4 linked regions of the Caenorhabditis elegans genome follow. The protein of the gene in region 1 purifies or fractionates together with the protein of each later gene. This does not show direct contact. Each region holds a gene or a part of one and is shown in the gene's direction. Other genes may lie near its edges.

Region 1 (3,323 bases):
AACTTATCATTTCGGGTCTGAAATAATATTCGTTATTTCACACAATTTAACAGGAAAAACACCGCAATCATACTTTTTATTTCTTGCCTGTTCTAATCTTTTCATCTCTTTTGCTGTTATAAGCAGTTGGGGAGCTGGCTGCTGTGGAGGTTCTCCATCCAGCCAACCCGCGATTTTTCCAATACTGGAACTACAGAAGTTGAGCCCTGAAAAATATTAGTTTTTGTTATTTAACTATTAAATTAAAATTTCTTACAAATCGGTTCATAACTAAAGAATGGAGTTCGAATAGCTCCAAGCATTAGAACAAGGAAGATTGTCATCACGATTTGAGCTATCAATGGAGCACCGTCATATAGATTTCTGGAAAAATTAATTTACAGCTTTTTTTATGAATTCGTCAAAAAATACCTGAAGAATAAATTAAAGTGCTTCGCAGAACCAGAAAAAAACGCAAAGAATCCTCCGGAAATAGTCTCAGAAAACACTTCGATGATAGAAATCTCGTGGAAAATCGATATGGTTTGACTCTGAAATTTACAACATTTAAAATAATTTAACCCAACAAAGAAGAAATAAAACAAAAACTAACCTCAATGTACTTTAAACATTTTGATTTTTGCCGATATTGGAAAGGCGATGCGAGGATTTCAACCATTCTTGAGAGTAATCCTTCTGTAGCACAAGAATCATGAGCATGCTCTTGGAATTGTGCAAATCTTCGTGATTCTGCTTCTTGATATTTTTTGCTATAACCAGAATACATGGAAACAAGAAGAGCAGTTGAGAGAACGAGAATCCAAAAGTTTCGTGGCCGAACGATTGATCGAAGAACAACAAAAGCAGCCGCGGGCAAAATGAAGATGTTCAGTGTGAAAATGAAAGGTTGGAGAGTCACAAATGTATCCTGCCAAGTACGATCTGGAGCTGGAGGCTTCACGCTGAAAATGTTTGACAACGCGGATCGGACGGCTTCTCTCTCTTCAGCCAAATCTGCTTCATCATTTTTTAAATACTTCGAAAGAACCGACATGCTGTGCCGAGATATTTTAATTCTGCAATTCAAAGCTTAAAATATATCGGAACTAGAAGAAAATATACTCACTGTACATCTTTTTTAATTGAACCTTCCAAATGATAGTCAATTTTGGTTTCGTGGAGAAGTTGTCGAAGAATCAGACGAAGACTTTGATCAGGCTGAAACTATTGAATGGGTTATTTACGGATTTCTTTAAAGCTTTTAGTTTACCTTCTGAACTTGATTTCGAACAGATAGAAGTCGTTTTGACGCTGGCGGGCTTTCTCCAGAAGTTGGATCATTCGGATCTTTCCACACATTTTCATGTGTAAATTCTTCGTCAATGTCTTGAGTTGCGAAAAGTTGCGGGACGAGGAGTAGAAGTGTGACCCATATTATTTTCATCTGAAACAAGCGGAAAGTTGAAAGAGAAAAGATGTTTACAGCACGCTCAGCAACTGACAGGCGAGTTCATAAGATAACATAGTTGTTTGATCAATAAAATGTTGTGTTTTTCCGAGTTTTCAGATAATTCGCATTTAAACTTCACTTTTTATATTCAGAAAATTGTAAAATCGAAACATTTCAAGAATTGCGAAACAAGTTTTCAGAAGGCAAATTAATAAGTATAATACGGTTGACAATTGGTGTATGCAGAATTGTCGTGAATTTCGATGCCTGCGTACGCGAGAAATTTGCATTCATTATTTTCTTTTCCACAGTTTTCCACACTTTTCTCATCGATTTTTGCAATAATTTCATCAAATTTTCTTGTTTTTCAGTAAACTTCAAGATGAAGCTTTGGGATTCTCCGAATACCTCGTTCCCTTATTCATTTGATGAGGTTGCCAGTGCGTTTTGGGACAGGTGAGGCAGGAAATCTCGGAAAATGGTAATTTCAATTTCTAAACCCTCAGATACCCAAATTCTCATGCAAAACACATCATTTCGGAGGATGTACTCGAACGCCAGATCACTGACAACACTATTGTCACTAAAAAATTGATTGTCAAGCAAGGTATTTAGCTGATATTACAAGAGCCAGTAAATTATTCGCATAATTTTTCAGGAAGCTCGATTTTGAAACGTGTTCCTCGTTGGATTTCGAGAATGACAGATATTCAAGTTGTTCCTGTCATTGAAGAAAGTGTTTATGATAAAGTATCGAAAAAACTCGTAACATACACTCGAAATGTTTCACACATTTCTCTATTTCAACTCCATGAACGATGCATTTACAAATCATCCGAGGTTTATCATTGTTATTTCAAATCTCTATTTACTGTTATTTTTCAGGATAATCAGCAGCATCACCCAGCCCTTCTCACTGACGTACTGCGAAGTGTCACAGTTTCAATCGATTGTGGTCGAATGAGCTCAGTTTACGAGAAAGTCCTACTAATGGGCTTCAAAAAATCGATCAATAACACAACGAAAGGGTTGTTTGAGAAGCTAGAAGAGCGATTTGGAGTCAAAAACGTTGCTAATGAGAAAATGAAAATGATCAAGGAAAAGATTATCAAGTCATCGTCAAATCTCGTCACTCATGTCCAATGCGAAGAGGATGTCTAGTCAGCCATACTGAATATAAATCTCAAACATTCACTTTTTCCCGTTATTTTCATTTATGTCCCCCCAAAAAAATCTCAATTCTCATAGAATTACTGAATCTTCTGCACATTCTTTGCATTGAACTGAGACCATTATTTGTTTGTTATTTGGCTCTCAATCTCTCCTGATAAATGTACATATTCAATTTATTTTTTGAATTTTTTTTGGCTATTTTCTGGTTATTTACCAGCTATTGTTATCTTTCTTGACCTTTTTTGTCTGAATTACATTATAATCTATCATAATCTCCAATATTTAGGCTCTTCTCAATAAGGCTTTTCAAAACTCCTTCAAAAAGCTTCTTGGTCTTCGATCAACGATATGGCGAGTACTATTTACCGGTGAGTGACCTCCCAAAAGTTTCTGGAACACGGCAGTTGTTCCACTTGAATCAGCAAAAAATAACCATCAATCACAAGAAAAAGAGACATAGATATCAAAAGAAAATCCCCTGTTGCAGCCTGATCACAATCGTCTCGCTTCTCTCATTGCTCCATTGTGCCTATTCCGCCGCCCAACACCGTTTCTACCTGCGTCTCACTGAGCAACCGTTCATCAATCTCCCATCCGACGTCGTCGCTCAGACAGTTATCTCCTTGATTGCACTGATCTACGGAACTTCCTTCCTGGCCAATCCATTCCTTTTCATAAAGAAGGATCAAGTGAGTTGGAGGAGAGATTCATGAAAATTGTT
Region 2 (3,141 bases), 5.8 Mb from region 1:
GAAATTTGCAAATTCAAATAGTATTAAATCTGTTCAATGTATTCCCTCACACCTTAATTTTTTTGTTTTGAAATTCGGTCTTTCTTTATTTATTAAATACCCGTGTGTTTCTAAGTATGGGTTGTATTCGTATTTTCGGTTCCATAAAGATTCATGAAGAACTTTCTCTTATCGTTTTGAACATATCCGCTTGGTGAATTATCAGTGCCAATTTAAATATTACACATACGCGAACATTTTCGATTTTCGGGCAGAAAAAAAAGGTATTAGGTCTCGCCACGCTTTTTTTGTGAGATAAAAACGAGGGTGTGCCTTTAAAGAGTACTGTAAGTGTCGAGACCTGGTGCCGCATTTTGGACCCAAGATTTCGCGTCTGGGGGATAAATTGTTCTAAATTTTTAAGATGTTAATCCATTTTCAGATTAAATCAAAATGCCTTCAAAATACATGCAATTGGCGAAGGAAATCATCAAAAATTATGGAACCAAGGGTCAATTCGGATGTGTTTCCGGAGCAGGAAATGTGAGAGCAGTTCATGCGGAGGAAGGAAATCTACGAGTGGAATTTGAAGTTGAGAAAGATCAGTCAAACCATTTTAACACTCTTCACGGTGGATGTACATCTACGCTCATTGATATTTTCACTACTGGGGCTCTTCTTCTCACAAAACCAGCTAGGCCAGGAGTATCTGTTGATTTGCATGTTACGTACGTAAAGAGAGAAGAAAATTGTCGAATTTGATAGATTTTTAGATACCTGACCGCCGCTAAAATTGGTGAGACCCTTGTGCTCGACTCCACCGTCATCAAACAAGGAAAAACTCTTGCATTCACAAAGGTAAACTTTAAGAAAAGTTTTAAAAATATTATTTTTTTCCAGGCAGAACTCTACCGTAAAAGTGATAATGTAATGATTGCAACTGGAGTACATACCAAAGCATTCCCAACTGTGAAGAAAGCAAACTAATCAATATATTCCAAGACATGGAAATTTGCGATCCGTGCGCCAAAAATACGGTATCCGGTCTCGACACAAAATGTTTTGGTTAAATGAAAAAAGGTGTGCTTCTTTGATGAGTACTGTAATTTTAGACTCTCGTTGTTGTTGAAATTTCATTGATTTTTCAACAATTTCCCATCAATTTTCGATAAAAAAAACATTTATTAATTTATTTTAAAACTCCCATACATCAATTAAAACTTTTTTTTTTCAGAAAATCGCGAAAAAAAATCAAGAGTTGGAATTTCCAGTAAACTTTAATGGCGCACACACCTTTTCCCGTTATAAAAAAAGTTTTCGTGTCGAGACCGGCTACCGTGATTTCTGCCCAAAAATCGCAAAATTTCGTGTCTGGAATACCTCCTAAACATAATTCCTAGACACAATTTCTAATTTGATCGTTTTGAAAAACATTTCCCTTGTGTACAAAACTATTATTCCGCAATAAAATTGTAAAGAATTCTTGTTTTTTTTCCAATTTTCCATAAATACTCGTTTTAATCCGAGTACTCTGTACATGTTTTGATGGTAAGAGAATCCACGCAAGTCTACGTGGTTATGAGATTTTTGTTTTGAAACAAATATTTTTAAATCATATATTTTTTCTAAGATTGCTTGAAAATGGCATCAAAATACATGCAAATTGCGAAGGAAGTGATCAAAATGTTCGGGACAAAAGGACAATTCGGTTATGCGGCTGGAGCACGGAATGTGAGAGCAGTTCATGCGGAGGAAGGAAATCTACGAGTGGAATTCGAAGTTGAAAAGGATCAGACAAATCAATTCGAGACACTTCATGGTGGATGTACAGCAGCACTTATCGATTGTTTCACAACTGGTGCTCTTCTACTCACAAAGGAAGCGAGGCCTGGTGTTTCAGTGGATTTGCATATTACGTGAGTATCTATATCTAAATAGAGGTTTCCTAGATTATGCAATGATTTGAAACATATAAGTCTTGCGAACAAGTGCAATATTTAAGCCAAAATTCAGTGTGGGGTCCCACCACGACCGAAATGTTCTCAGCTACGGTACCAACGAACTTTTTCTAATGTTTTCTAATTTTTCCATTCCAACCTTTAATTTAAAACTACAGATTTATTGCAAAACCAACAAAAAAGAGAAATCTACCGTACTCACGAGTACGGTAACTGAAAAGTTTCGCTCATTCTAGTACCCCCATACCTATATTTTAGCTTTATAATCGTTCATTTTCGTAAACTAATAATGCCAGAAATTCAGGAGAAAATATTTATGATCATCGTAACTTCCAGATACTTGACAGCTGCAAACATCGGAGAAACTCTTGTACTCAACTCTACTGTCATCAAACAGGGGCGCTCTCTTGGATTCACTAAGGTATCATATTTTTTTATTCTTGAATATTTCTGATTACAAAAGTGTTTTATTTCAGGCAGAACTCTATCGTAAAAGGGACAATGCAATGATTGCTACTGGAGTCCACACCAAGGCGTTCCCAAAGTGATCGCTCACCATAAAATAAATAATGTTATATGCAAATTAAACTAGAATTATTTTACCATGTATTCCATTTCATTTCAGAAAATAAATATCTTTATCAATATATGTGTTTGTTTGCCATTAAAAAACACAAATATCGGAAGTGAGAGATCATTTGTTGTAAGGATAATGTGTTTTAAAGGCTCCGTATCACACGCCAACGCTCTGAGTTGATGCTCAGTGAAATACCAAAAGTGACGAAGAAGCTCAAAATTCATATTTTTTGGATGCAAATCATAGAAAGAAGTCTTATAAAAAATTCCATTAAAAAATTCCGAACATATCTTGCTGCGGTTATGTTGGAGGCAAGAAAAAAAAAAGAAATCATAATCGCCTTCGATCACTTTTTTTATACACATTGTTTATCATGAAAACTTATTCCAAAACAAGATACCAAAATTCACCACAAATATTCTAAAATTTTCAATTGCCTTATAACCAATGATGGCTGTTTCGAGAAGTTTGTACTTTTGAAGAATCCAATTTCAAGTTCCTCTTTTCCTTCGTCTAGATCCCGAGACACTTTCCACGTCGTTGGTGTTTTCTGGCAACTCTCATTTTTCAGTAAAATCAATAATTCGGGAATTGGAAAACTAATGACAATGTTGTACATTTCAATCC
Region 3 (3,411 bases), on another chromosome or scaffold:
CATCGCACGAAATTGGATATTTTTACTTTCTGACTGATGTTGATCCAGTATAATCGGTGAATCTTTTAGTCGGAGTGATAGCGATTGAGGCACGTCCGTTGAGATTCAAGCCGCCCGTTTTTCTTCGATCTCCAAACATTGTCAAGAAACTGTAATGAGCGAATAAAATTGACCAGAACTGAATATACTAACGGAAGGCGACGCATATAAAATTTAAAAAAATAATTCTGGCAACTATTGAGAACTTTGTTTTCCAACTTAAAGAAGAAAAAACATTTTTACAGAAATATTTATGAAAAAAAAAACGAAAATAGAAATTTGAGTAAAAACAATATCGAGAGAGAGAGAGAGAAGTCACATTTGAATTTTCCCGCTATAGCAATTGTGATTGGAGCGCACTTACATTACAGAGACGCTGCACTCGCGAGGAAACTGATTTCCGGAGATTCCAGAATGAAGGAATTGTTGGAACTTTTGAGATATAATTTCAAACACGATTAATATACAATAGAATTGAATTTTCCTACAATGGTTAGATCATTTCCAGTCGGTATATTGATAAACAGAAGTTGCCCCTTAATATTTGCATTTTTGTAATTGAAGTTTCCAGCCAATAATTACGTCAAATTTTTTTTCTTCGAGAAACTGATATAGTTTACAATAATAAACCAGTATCTTTAACCAATGGAGTGATAACACAGAACTGGATCCTCTTATTCTTTCTCTTTTCTTTCTCCTTAACAAGAACAATTATACCAGTTCCAAGTAATAGCCATGGACGTCTCTAGTATAAAAACATCAGTTCTTTTGGAATTCTTCAGTCCATCACTCACCCTCCAACAGTAATCATGGACATCGACGCTCGTATCAAAGCTTATAAATTTGTTGCCTATTCGGCAGTCACCTTCTCGGTTGTCGCCGTTGTCTCTGTTTTCATCACATTGCCAATGGTTTATAACTATGTTAATAATGTGAAGAAACAGATTCACACTGATGTTAATTTCTGCAAGGTTTCTGCTCGTGATATCTGGAGTGAGGTGCATCTTATTAAGGATGCTCCAGGAAACAATACTCGTGTTGCTCGTCAAGCTTATTCCACTGGAGGAGCTGGAGGAGGCGGAGGCGGAGGTAAGGATCTTGGTTCACAGAGTTTAAGTATTTGAATACATTTTCAGGCGGCGGAGGATGTGATGGATGCTGCAATCCTGGACCACCAGGACCAGGTGGATCTCCCGGAAAACCAGGAAAGCCAGGAAAGCCAGGAGCTCCAGGAGCCCCAGGAAATCCAGGAAAAGGAGCATCAGCTCCATGTGAGCCAGTTACTCAACCACCATGCCAACCATGCCCAGGAGGACCACCAGGACCAGCTGGTCCAGCCGGACCACCAGGACCACCGGGACCAGATGGAAACCCAGGATCACCAGCCGGACCATCAGGCCCAGGACCAGCCGGACCACCAGGACCAGCAGGACCAGCCGGAAACGACGGAGCCCCAGGAGCCCCAGGAGGACCAGGAGAACCAGGAGCATCCGAGCAAGGAGGACCAGGAGAGCCAGGACCAGCTGGACCACCAGGACCAGCCGGACCAGCCGGAAATGACGGAGCCCCAGGAACCGGAGGACCAGGACCAGCTGGACCAAAGGGACCACCAGGAGCTGCTGGAGCACCAGGAGCTGACGGAAACCCAGGAGGACCAGGAACCGCTGGAAAGCCAGGAGGAGAAGGAGAGAAGGGAATCTGCCCCAAGTATTGTGCTATCGACGGAGGAGTCTTCTTTGAGGACGGAACCCGACGCCGCTAAATTTAGAAGCGTGCCGTTTGTGCCAAATAAAGCATTTTTCATTCAACTTCTTTGTTTATAACATCTACATACCACACGAAGAAATATTTTTAAAAACGTAATCCTCGAAATATGTTCAATAATTTTCCATTTTCAAAATTTCCGTTTATTTCTCAATATTTCAATATAACATCTGAGGGGTGTTCAAGCAAAATAATGTGCTTGTATTCACAAATATCAATTATTCTGTTTTTATTCTGGTCGTTAATGTTACAACTCATCATTGGAACGACTTGTGTCTCTAAAAATTCACAGAAGAGGTAGGTCAATATTTAAAAAAAAAACATCAAAGAGTTAATAAAATTAAGTAAGAGTTCTCGAGAAACGACGTCATCTGAAAGAGCATGTAAACCAGCGGCAACGTCAAAATCTTCATTGATTTCTGAGAAAAGTGAGAGGAGATTATCGAGTGAAAAAAGTATGAAAAAGGAGAAAATCACAGTGTAAGATTCAATATCCAATATAATTATATCTTGAAACTGTTCAGAATTGATTCTCTAAAAGTACCACGCCGGGCACCGCAAGCTCAGAGATTTACCAATTCTAGGATCTCAAGTAACAATCAAGTTTCTTTGAGAAATTCACAGAAATCTGAAACGGAATCTGCAAAAACTGAAATTATCAATGTACCATTGGGAAAGGCAGCAAAGTGAGTAAATCGCCTATCAAATGAGATTTTTAAATTATAGAATGTAGAGTAGGCTTTATTATTAGTAATCCAAATACCCTAAGTATTTATTCAGAGATGAAACATCCAGCAACATCCTCACGCCAGCAAACAAACAAAAAACAGACTTGCACACTGCACCAACTAGAAAAGCACAATTCGCTGATACTTTGAAAAGAGTTAAACGAAGAGCCACGTAAGAAAATTGTTTAAAAAAGTGTAGCGAAATCATTTTTGTTTTTCAGAAAGCCAGATGATCCGGACGAAAAAACATCGTATATCCCGTGATTGTTTGGAACTTTTTGAAGAATTGATTAGACTTGAGCAAAAATAAAGTCGTTGCTTATAAAATTTCTTTTTTATAGTTTTAAATACACAGAAATAAAATGCAATTCACTACATTTCCAAATTTTATGCATGTTAGATAATCTTTTTGGTCTCCTTCCGTTTTGAAACGCTCTTACCGAGTTGTTAAATAAGCCAGTGCCAGTCGAAACGTTAACCAAGTGTGTCTCTTTTCTCCCTCTGGGAGAAAAATATTATAACTTTTACTAACAGATTCAAAGGTTCATGTTGTCAACAGTAAAACCAGATTAGAAAATTTCTTGAAGTGAGAAAAGCTTTAATTTTCTCCAGTTAAACTTAGAATCCCAAAGATCAATGTTCAATCAGAAATCTGCCTGAAAAATATTGAATCTTCATAAGGTCTAAAATGATAGACTAATCGGAGGAGCCAACTGTACTTGAGGATATAAATTTTTCTTTTAACTTCAGCAATACAAATTCATAATCGAATTCTTTATTCAAAATCATAGTTTACTTCTTTCCATGCTTCTTTCCACTTTTTTCAGTAAGACCTGCTTCATCTGGTGTTGGTGGAGCATTGATTCCAAGAGGATCGGAC
Region 4 (7,443 bases), on another chromosome or scaffold:
AAGTGAAATCTCACCGATGCCAAGGTGGAGGCGGTCCCCAAGGCCGAAGAGGTCCTGGAAAAAACCAATCTGTAAACCGGAACGTATTTCATTATTTTTATACTTCCGTTTTTATCAAATTCCAGGCAAAATTTTTCAATTTTCAGATAAAAAAATAAGTAAGTGTCAGCTGATGGCGATAATTTTTCAAGGAATTCTTACCTGGAGGAGGAGGCCGTTCAAAAAAATCAGGTTGCGTCAGACAAGTAACAAACTGTGATATCAGTATGCTTACAAATAACATTTTGCTCTCGGCGGCAAGTATATGCCAAGTTTAATCAAAATGAAAGACCAAGTAAAAAAATTTACAGCATGAACTAGTTCAGGGTTTAATCGGTAATAACAACACAAATTTGGTACGCGGGAAGACCTGTAAGGTGTTTGCATCGTTTTGTCTCATTCGGCCAATCAAATATAAAGGTCGTAGAAGTTTTAATTGGGGGAATCTTTGAGAGTGAAAAGAAGATGAAATTACGCGTGGCCTCAAAAAGTTTTTTTTTGATGGCAAGATGATTGGTGAACACAAACATTTGACTATCAGTGGATGTTACTTTGAAATATTATAAAAACTCAGCAAATGGCAATTTTCAAGATCATACCATGCAGAAGATCAAGACAGAAATCTGGGGATGAATCAGACAAAGTCGCCGAATTGATCCAAATTATGTTTCGCTGAACTTCAACTATTTTTTCTTGTGTTCTTAATCAGGGTTCCCAGAAAAATGATGGTCTAGACTCACGTACTAAGTTTATAGCATTCAAGTTTTGCATGTGTATTGTAGAAATAGACTTCTAACGTTTTAATGATAGACTACAAAAAAGGGTGGAAAATCTGGATATGGGTACTGTGTTAATAATCAACGTATTATTATTACTGTAGCTTTTGTCAATTCTACACTTTGCCTATCTACACATTGTATCTACACATCTACACATTGCAATTGCTTGCAAACGCCTTTTCATAAAACTGAAACGCAATTTTTTGTTAAAATTAAAAAAATTCTTAGGAAATATAGCAAATTCCTTGAAAGGTAAACACGTATTACTTGAAAATATTTCATTAATTGACACCAAACATTACATATGGATTATTGTCGTCAGTGGAAATTTTGTCCGAAAATTTTTATTGCAATCCAGATCATCATAAAACAGTCTAAATTTTCAAAGTTTTTTTTGAAAAAAAAATCATTAAACGTATGTTATCAAGTTTATACATAGTTTAGGCTCCTTGATAAATTAAGAGTAGTGTCGCTGTACAATGTTCCAGTACAAGTGTATAAGATTTAATTAGAATATTATTTTTTTAAATTTCTATTATTTTTCAAATCGACTACCAATTTTATGTGAGCAAAGCTGATTAATCACAACTTTTTGGCTGCAAATGAAAATACTTCAAAATTTATTTATTTAACATTATAGAAGTGGTTCCATACATTTTAACTACATTCGCTACTCACCATTTATGGTGCCTTGTTTTAAAAACACTCATTAACCCGTTTTCATATGTATTTTCAGCGTCTCGTTATGTTTACTGTGTGTTATAATTAACAATTCAATTTTTTGAATGGTGTTGTAAGATTTTAAAGATTTTGAACAAGAAAACAGAATAACCTTCCCCTAAATCATTTTTCATCATAAATCACGCCGACATGATATTCAGTCGGCTCATATCACCATTTTACACCCTTTTCAACTTTGTGCCTTTCTTGTCATGCTTTTCTCTTTACCCTCCACTCAATTTTTCTTTTTCTCTTCAGAAACAGTACATCTTAATAGGTGATAACATTGAATTACAGACAACCCGCATCAAAACTTGGTCTCCAACAGTGACACGTACTCTCATTCCTTTGCTCGCCTTCTGCGCTATCCGATTAGTGGAGCATGTAATGTACGAAAACGCTTACAAGAGGTGGTGGAAAAAGAAAGTGGAAATGATAAAATTTATGAGTGAAATATTTAAGCGAGTAGGAGAAGCACTATTAAGAACAGTGCGGTTCAACTTGATAAAGAGACGCAGCAAGAAATTGGTGAGGACACAGTCATCGAGCCAACGCACCTATTGCCCACCTCCATACTCCTCCTTCTTCTTCATTTCTTGCCTCAAATACCGCGACAGGCTCATTCCTCGTCAGTATCGCCACTATGGGCTACTCGGAGAGTCGCTCGGAGAGCGTTAGCTCGAAAGGTAACTGATTCATCATATAAAAGTTCAATAAAGCATAATACATTTATTAAGACGGTTAAGCCTGAATATTATACCACCCATGTAGTTTAATTTTTAAGATATTGTAACATTACACAGTATTTGAATGTTTTAATAGTTTGTTCAATTGTATTTCTCTCGAAATATGATTCGCATGTGGTCAATCATCCAGTCGCAGATTTTAAAGATCCACTTTCCAGTTAAGGCTGGGGTACCCCTCACGTTTTATACTCGTGACCCCTAGTTGCTAGCGACTACCATTAACAACTGGGCTCCTGTTGAAAACTGTAATCCAATAATTTTGTATTACTTATGAGTAACAAGAACCCTCAACTAATAAATCTAATATTAATGCAGATTTTGCAACACACTGTACGGAACAAAATAACTTACCTCCAGCATACCGAAACATCATTTCCAGATTGTTTTATTGTTTTGTAAAATACAATTCTTCTTAACAGCCGCTAAAACTAGTGATAATGGCATTTATCTAAAATTAGATGGATTATAACTAATCTTGCCGCGTGGGAAATTTTATCTATCAAAAAAAAAGGCGACAAGAGTAAATTTCAGAGTTTTTGATCGAAAATCGACAGAACGAGTTTTTCAGGCAAAACATCATACGGCCATGAACTCGAAACAGTACCACTACCGGAAAAGAAAATCTACACAACATGGCCTGATATGATCAGGCATTGGCCTAAAACAACACTGTGCATCGTGTCCAACGAATTCTGCGAACGATTCTCATACTATGGAATGAGAAGTGAGTTGCTTTATTTGTTAGGGTAAAAGTGTAAAGGATATAATAGATCCTTTAAACAGCCTTAAACATTTCTGATGTATCAATAATCTACAAAAAATATTTTTATTTGTACATATATTTTTAGTTTAGTTTAAGAGGTAAGGTGAAGAAAAAGTAGAGTTAAACCTTATTTTGATTTTCGGCCGGTGGGTGGACATTTTCAGATAAGGGTATTATCAACATTTACTTTAAGTACATGGTACTCAAAAAGTGAATTTCCTATCTACATGCCAGTATATTTAAAAATCGAAAGTTTTGACACATGAAATGCAAATAAGACATTTTTTCACCGATATCACTAAAAGGTCATAATCCGGTTATTACCATAATGATTATGACGTTGGCAGTACAGAAGATCAATTGAAACGTGACACGAAAAATTTGCAGCGGTCTTGACATTCTACCTGCTTAACGTACTAAAGTTCACCGACTCACAATCTACGATCTTCTTCAATGGATTTACTGTGCTTTGCTATACCACACCACTTCTCGGATCAATTGTTGCGGACGGATACATTGGAAAATTCTGGTATGTAATAATTGTTGTTTTGCACTCAATAACGACTTTTCAGGACAATCTTCTCTGTCTCAATTCTATACGCAATCGGACAAGTCGTGCTCGCTCTCGCTTCTACTAAGAATTTTCAATCTTCAGTTCACCCGTAAGTGATGCTTGTTCCAGTATTCGACGCATAAACTTATCATGCAACTTTTCCGTCTTTACGAATTCCTCTCGATTGAAACAAGGCATGATGATAAGAACTTCAACCGTGGCAACTTTTGCCCGACAGTGCACGCGCCACATTAAACATTAAAAAACTGAAACCGAACAAAATTAAAAAGGGTTCACAAGAAATAAACTGCTGAATTTTCAGATGGATGGATCTGTCTGGATTACTGATCATTGCGTTCGGTACCGGAGGAATCAAGCCATGTGTGTCTGCATTCGGAGGAGATCAATTCGAGTTAGGACAAGAAAGAATGCTCTCACTCTTCTTTTCCATGTTCTACTTTTCCATCAACGCAGGATCTATGATCTCTACTTTCATCTCTCCCATCTTCAGATGTAAACTTGACAATTCTTAAAACACTATTAGAGTACAATAATTTCAGCTCAACCATGCCTTGGACAAGATTCCTGCTACCCAATGGCTTTTGGTATTCCGGCTATTCTTATGATTGTTGCAACACGTGAGATAAAATATTCAAAAATCACATTGACTATTAAACTCTTACAGTGGTATTTATGGGAGGTTCATTTTGGTACAAGAAGAACCCACCAAAGGACAACGTGTTCGGAGAAGTATCTCGTCTTATGTTTGTAAGTTTTTGTTTTGTTTTATTTCTAAACTGCTTTGAAACCAAGATTAAATATTCAGAGAGCTGTTGGAAACAAAATGAAGTCAGGATCCACACCAAAGGAACACTGGCTCCTTCACTACCTTACTACTCACGACTGTGCTCTTGATGCAAAATGCCTCGAACTCCAAGCTGAGAAAAGAAACAAGAATCTGTGCCAAAAGAAAAAATTCATCGATGATGTCCGTTCCCTACTCCGTGTTCTTGTCATGTTCTTGCCAGTACCAATGTTCTGGGCACTTTACGATCAGCAAGGATCTGTCTGGCTCATTCAAGGTTTGTAAAGTTCTAGATAACAATTTAAAAATGATCAAATTGGGGAGTCAGCTGCAGAATTCCTTGTGGTGCACCCACTGGGTTTTAGCTTAAGCTACAATCAAGCCGGGGGGCTAAGTCAGCCGTTGATTAATCTAATTCCCAGCGTTGGCTTAGTGAACCTAGGAGTGCAATTTTGTGATTGCTAGCGACCACCACTACCGACTGAGACATCCCCGCTCTTCACATGTTAAAAATGTGTTTTTTCAGCTATTCAAATGGATTGTCGTCTTTCTGACACCCTTCTCCTTCTTCCGGATCAAATGCAGACATTGAACGCCGTGCTTATTCTTCTCTTTATCCCACTCTTTCAGGTCATCATCTACCCAGTCGCTGCCAAGTGTGTCCGACTTACGTGAGTTTTCATTGAAATAAAATTATTTGTGTATAATGAATTATTATATTTTAGACCTTTGAGAAAAATGGTCACTGGAGGGCTTCTCGCGTCACTTGCCTTTTTGATCACTGGATTTGTTCAACTTCAAGTCAATGTAATTTCAAATAAAATTGTTCCATAATTTATTAATTCTTTACAGACTACTCTTCCAACTCTCCCGGAAGAAGGAGAAGCATCAATTAGTTTCTGGAACCAGTTTGAAACTGATTGCACCATTACCGTTATGTCTGGAATTCACAAGAGAGTTCTTCCCCATGACAAGGTTTGAGATTCGAATTTGATTCTTTTCACTTTTAACTTTCTCCTCCTAAGTTCTAAACGAAAGATCATGCCATTTTAAGTGCTGATAAGAAAAAAGGAAGTCAGAAAAAGTTATCGTAAAATTATTTAATTTATTGCCTTTGTCATGAATTACTATACGTATTTACACAACAACGTTTCAGTATCTTCACGAAGATAAAAAGAACAAGTCTGGAATTTATAATCTTTTTACAACAAAATCCCCCGCAAAAGGTAATGGCGATTGGACTCTCACATATGACCTCAGCTATGACGGCGCTTGCGGAGATACATCAAAATTGGAGAAAACTGTTAAAGTGACTGCCAAGAGCAAGAAGATCATCTACGTTGGAGTCGGATCATTTGGATATTACCAAAACACAGCTAACACTGATAAGCCAACTGATGGAACTGGAGAATTCTCTATGGGGTAGGGGTGTTCATAACACGGAACAATGGTTAAATAATATATAAATTCCAGAATTGTCACTGTATTCAATTCTTCATACGGAGGAAACTTTGCCATGTGCCGTCAAAATACAAGCGACTTTGATGTTAACCATCCATGTAATCCAAGACATCCTGCTGACTTTTACTTCTGGGAAACCGATTATAATAGTCATACCGATGACAGAGATCAAAACGCTACAATTACTGGATCTCTTAGTTCCCAACCGGCTGTAACTTACAAGCAGAAATCTGTAAAGCCAGGATATTGGCAGTTGTACTACCTTTTGAATACACCAAAAGATGTAGACCGGCAGACTTACAACAAAACAGCAACACTCGTTGCTCCAACAAATTACGGTTTTCACAGAGTTAAGCAGGGAGGTGTGTTCATCTATGCATTGACCGGAACATACGAAAATCCAAAGATCCACGAGCTTCAAATTGTACAGTCCAATAGTGTGTCGATTCTTTGGCAGATTCCACAAATCGTTGTCATCACGGCAGCAGAAATTTTGTTCTCAATTACCGGATACGAATTTGCATATTCTCAGGTAATGTTAATAGTTAAAATTTATAATTTATAATGCTATTCTAACTGTAAATATTACAGTCTGCCCCATCAATGAAAGCTCTGGTACAAGCCCTCTGGCTCTTGACCACTGCTGCTGGAGATTCCATCATTGTAGTCATCACAATCCTTAACTTATTTGAAAATATGGCCGTCGAATTCTTTGTCTATGCTGCTGCGATGTTTGTAGTTATTGCCATCTTTGCTCTTCTCTCCATTTTCTATTATACTTACAATTATTATACAACTGATGAAGAGGACGGTGAAATTGGAGTTGATGATGAGGAAGAAATTGAGGATCACAATCCACGATATTCAATTGATAACAAAGGTTTCCATCCGGACGAAAAAGATACTTTCGATATGCATTTTTAATTAAATCCTAATATGTATAAATTTTCAATTTTGTTTTCCTAAACCTACTACTGTTGCTTTCCCTTATTGTGACATCGTGATAAAATTCGTTTTCACTTGAAAAAATAAATATTTCTAAAAACTTTGTTCATGTCCACTCTCACAACAACAGCCGAACTGCATCTTGATTCTGTCGTTTTGCGACCAAACACATTTCTTATTCCATTGCAAAAGTCTCTGAACTCAAAAATAGGAGCCAAATTTGAAAGTTGGCATGCGACGACCGGATGAGTATATCCGGTCTAAAGCTTTGTAAGCTAGTGGAGGACGGACAATAGCTTGTTGCCGGGGGCTCTCTCATTATCTGCTTTTTTTTGGATTTGCTCACGACACACTGGGCGACTAAATATGACGGATGAATTAACATCACCTTCTCTCAAATCTGGAAATGTTCTGGCTCTACTTAACACACTTTACACTTCCGGATTTGCAATGGCGTCCTCCAGCACTCCATTGCTCAAAGGTTTGACTCTTGGGCAAATAATTTTTTGTCATTTTAATTTTTTCACTTATAGGCAGAGTAGCAAGTTTTATTATCACGGTAATAGTCTTCAAACATTTTAATTAATCAATTAAATTTGATGAATTAAAACATTTCAGGGCGTTTTAAAATT

Evidence for each region.
Region 2: the proteins of prel-1 (region 1) and C25H3.14 fractionate together in Caenorhabditis elegans (co-fractionation; one large-scale study listed by BioGRID). This does not show direct contact.
Region 3: the proteins of prel-1 (region 1) and W01B6.8 fractionate together in Caenorhabditis elegans (co-fractionation; one large-scale study listed by BioGRID). This does not show direct contact.
Region 4: the proteins of prel-1 (region 1) and pept-1 fractionate together in Caenorhabditis elegans (co-fractionation; one large-scale study listed by BioGRID). This does not show direct contact.

What each region holds. Positions count from the first base shown.
Region 1 is NC_003280.10:11,493,892-11,497,214, forward strand, and holds prel-1 (PRELI/MSF1 domain-containing protein), read left to right. Parts: upstream 1-1,800; 5' UTR 1,801-1,811; coding exon 1,812-1,885; intron 1,886-1,935; coding exon 1,936-2,036; intron 2,037-2,087; coding exon 2,088-2,269; intron 2,270-2,314; coding exon 2,315-2,590; 3' UTR 2,591-2,772; downstream 2,773-3,323. Other genes in the region: ooc-3 (Chloride channel CLIC-like protein 1), read right to left, coding at 1-17, 74-206, 257-363, 412-530, 593-1,055, 1,106-1,203, 1,250-1,423; emc-5 (Membrane magnesium transporter), read left to right, coding at 2,951-2,970, 3,090-3,291.
Region 2 is NC_003280.10:5,693,774-5,696,914, forward strand, and holds C25H3.14 (Acyl-coenzyme A thioesterase 13), read left to right. Parts: upstream 1-1,609; 5' UTR 1,610-1,620; coding exon 1,621-1,895; intron 1,896-2,273; coding exon 2,274-2,358; intron 2,359-2,413; coding exon 2,414-2,485; 3' UTR 2,486-2,585; downstream 2,586-3,141. Other genes in the region: C25H3.3 (Acyl-coenzyme A thioesterase 13), read left to right, coding at 433-707, 753-837, 880-966; C25H3.10 (F-box domain-containing protein), read right to left, coding at 2,921-3,141.
Region 3 is NC_003282.8:10,082,875-10,086,285, reverse strand, and holds W01B6.8 (uncharacterized protein), read left to right. Parts: upstream 1-1,912; coding exon 1,913-2,100; intron 2,101-2,148; coding exon 2,149-2,283; intron 2,284-2,327; coding exon 2,328-2,489; intron 2,490-2,583; coding exon 2,584-2,703; intron 2,704-2,752; coding exon 2,753-2,795; 3' UTR 2,796-2,900; downstream 2,901-3,411. Other genes in the region: Kinetochore protein ndc-80, read right to left, coding at 27-139; col-2 (Cuticle collagen 2), read left to right, coding at 849-1,128, 1,176-1,801.
Region 4 is NC_003284.9:6,454,852-6,462,294, forward strand, and holds pept-1 (Peptide transporter family 1), read left to right. Parts: upstream 1-2,020; 5' UTR 2,021-2,181; coding exon 2,182-2,224; intron 2,225-2,852; coding exon 2,853-3,008; intron 3,009-3,434; coding exon 3,435-3,576; intron 3,577-3,619; coding exon 3,620-3,709; intron 3,710-3,922; coding exon 3,923-4,113; intron 4,114-4,160; coding exon 4,161-4,238; intron 4,239-4,285; coding exon 4,286-4,368; intron 4,369-4,426; coding exon 4,427-4,682; intron 4,683-4,931; coding exon 4,932-5,076; intron 5,077-5,130; coding exon 5,131-5,212; intron 5,213-5,257; coding exon 5,258-5,380; intron 5,381-5,561; coding exon 5,562-5,827; intron 5,828-5,878; coding exon 5,879-6,398; intron 6,399-6,457; coding exon 6,458-6,790; 3' UTR 6,791-6,916; downstream 6,917-7,443. Other genes in the region: Zinc metalloproteinase nas-33, read right to left, coding at 15-69, 202-283; K04E7.1 (Serpentine Receptor, class BC (Class B-like)), read left to right, coding at 7,178-7,292. UniProt on the Caenorhabditis elegans protein: Low-affinity peptide transporter that is necessary for proton-dependent uptake of di- or tripeptides, and to a minor extent tetrapeptides, in the intestine. Transport is independent of sodium and chloride ions.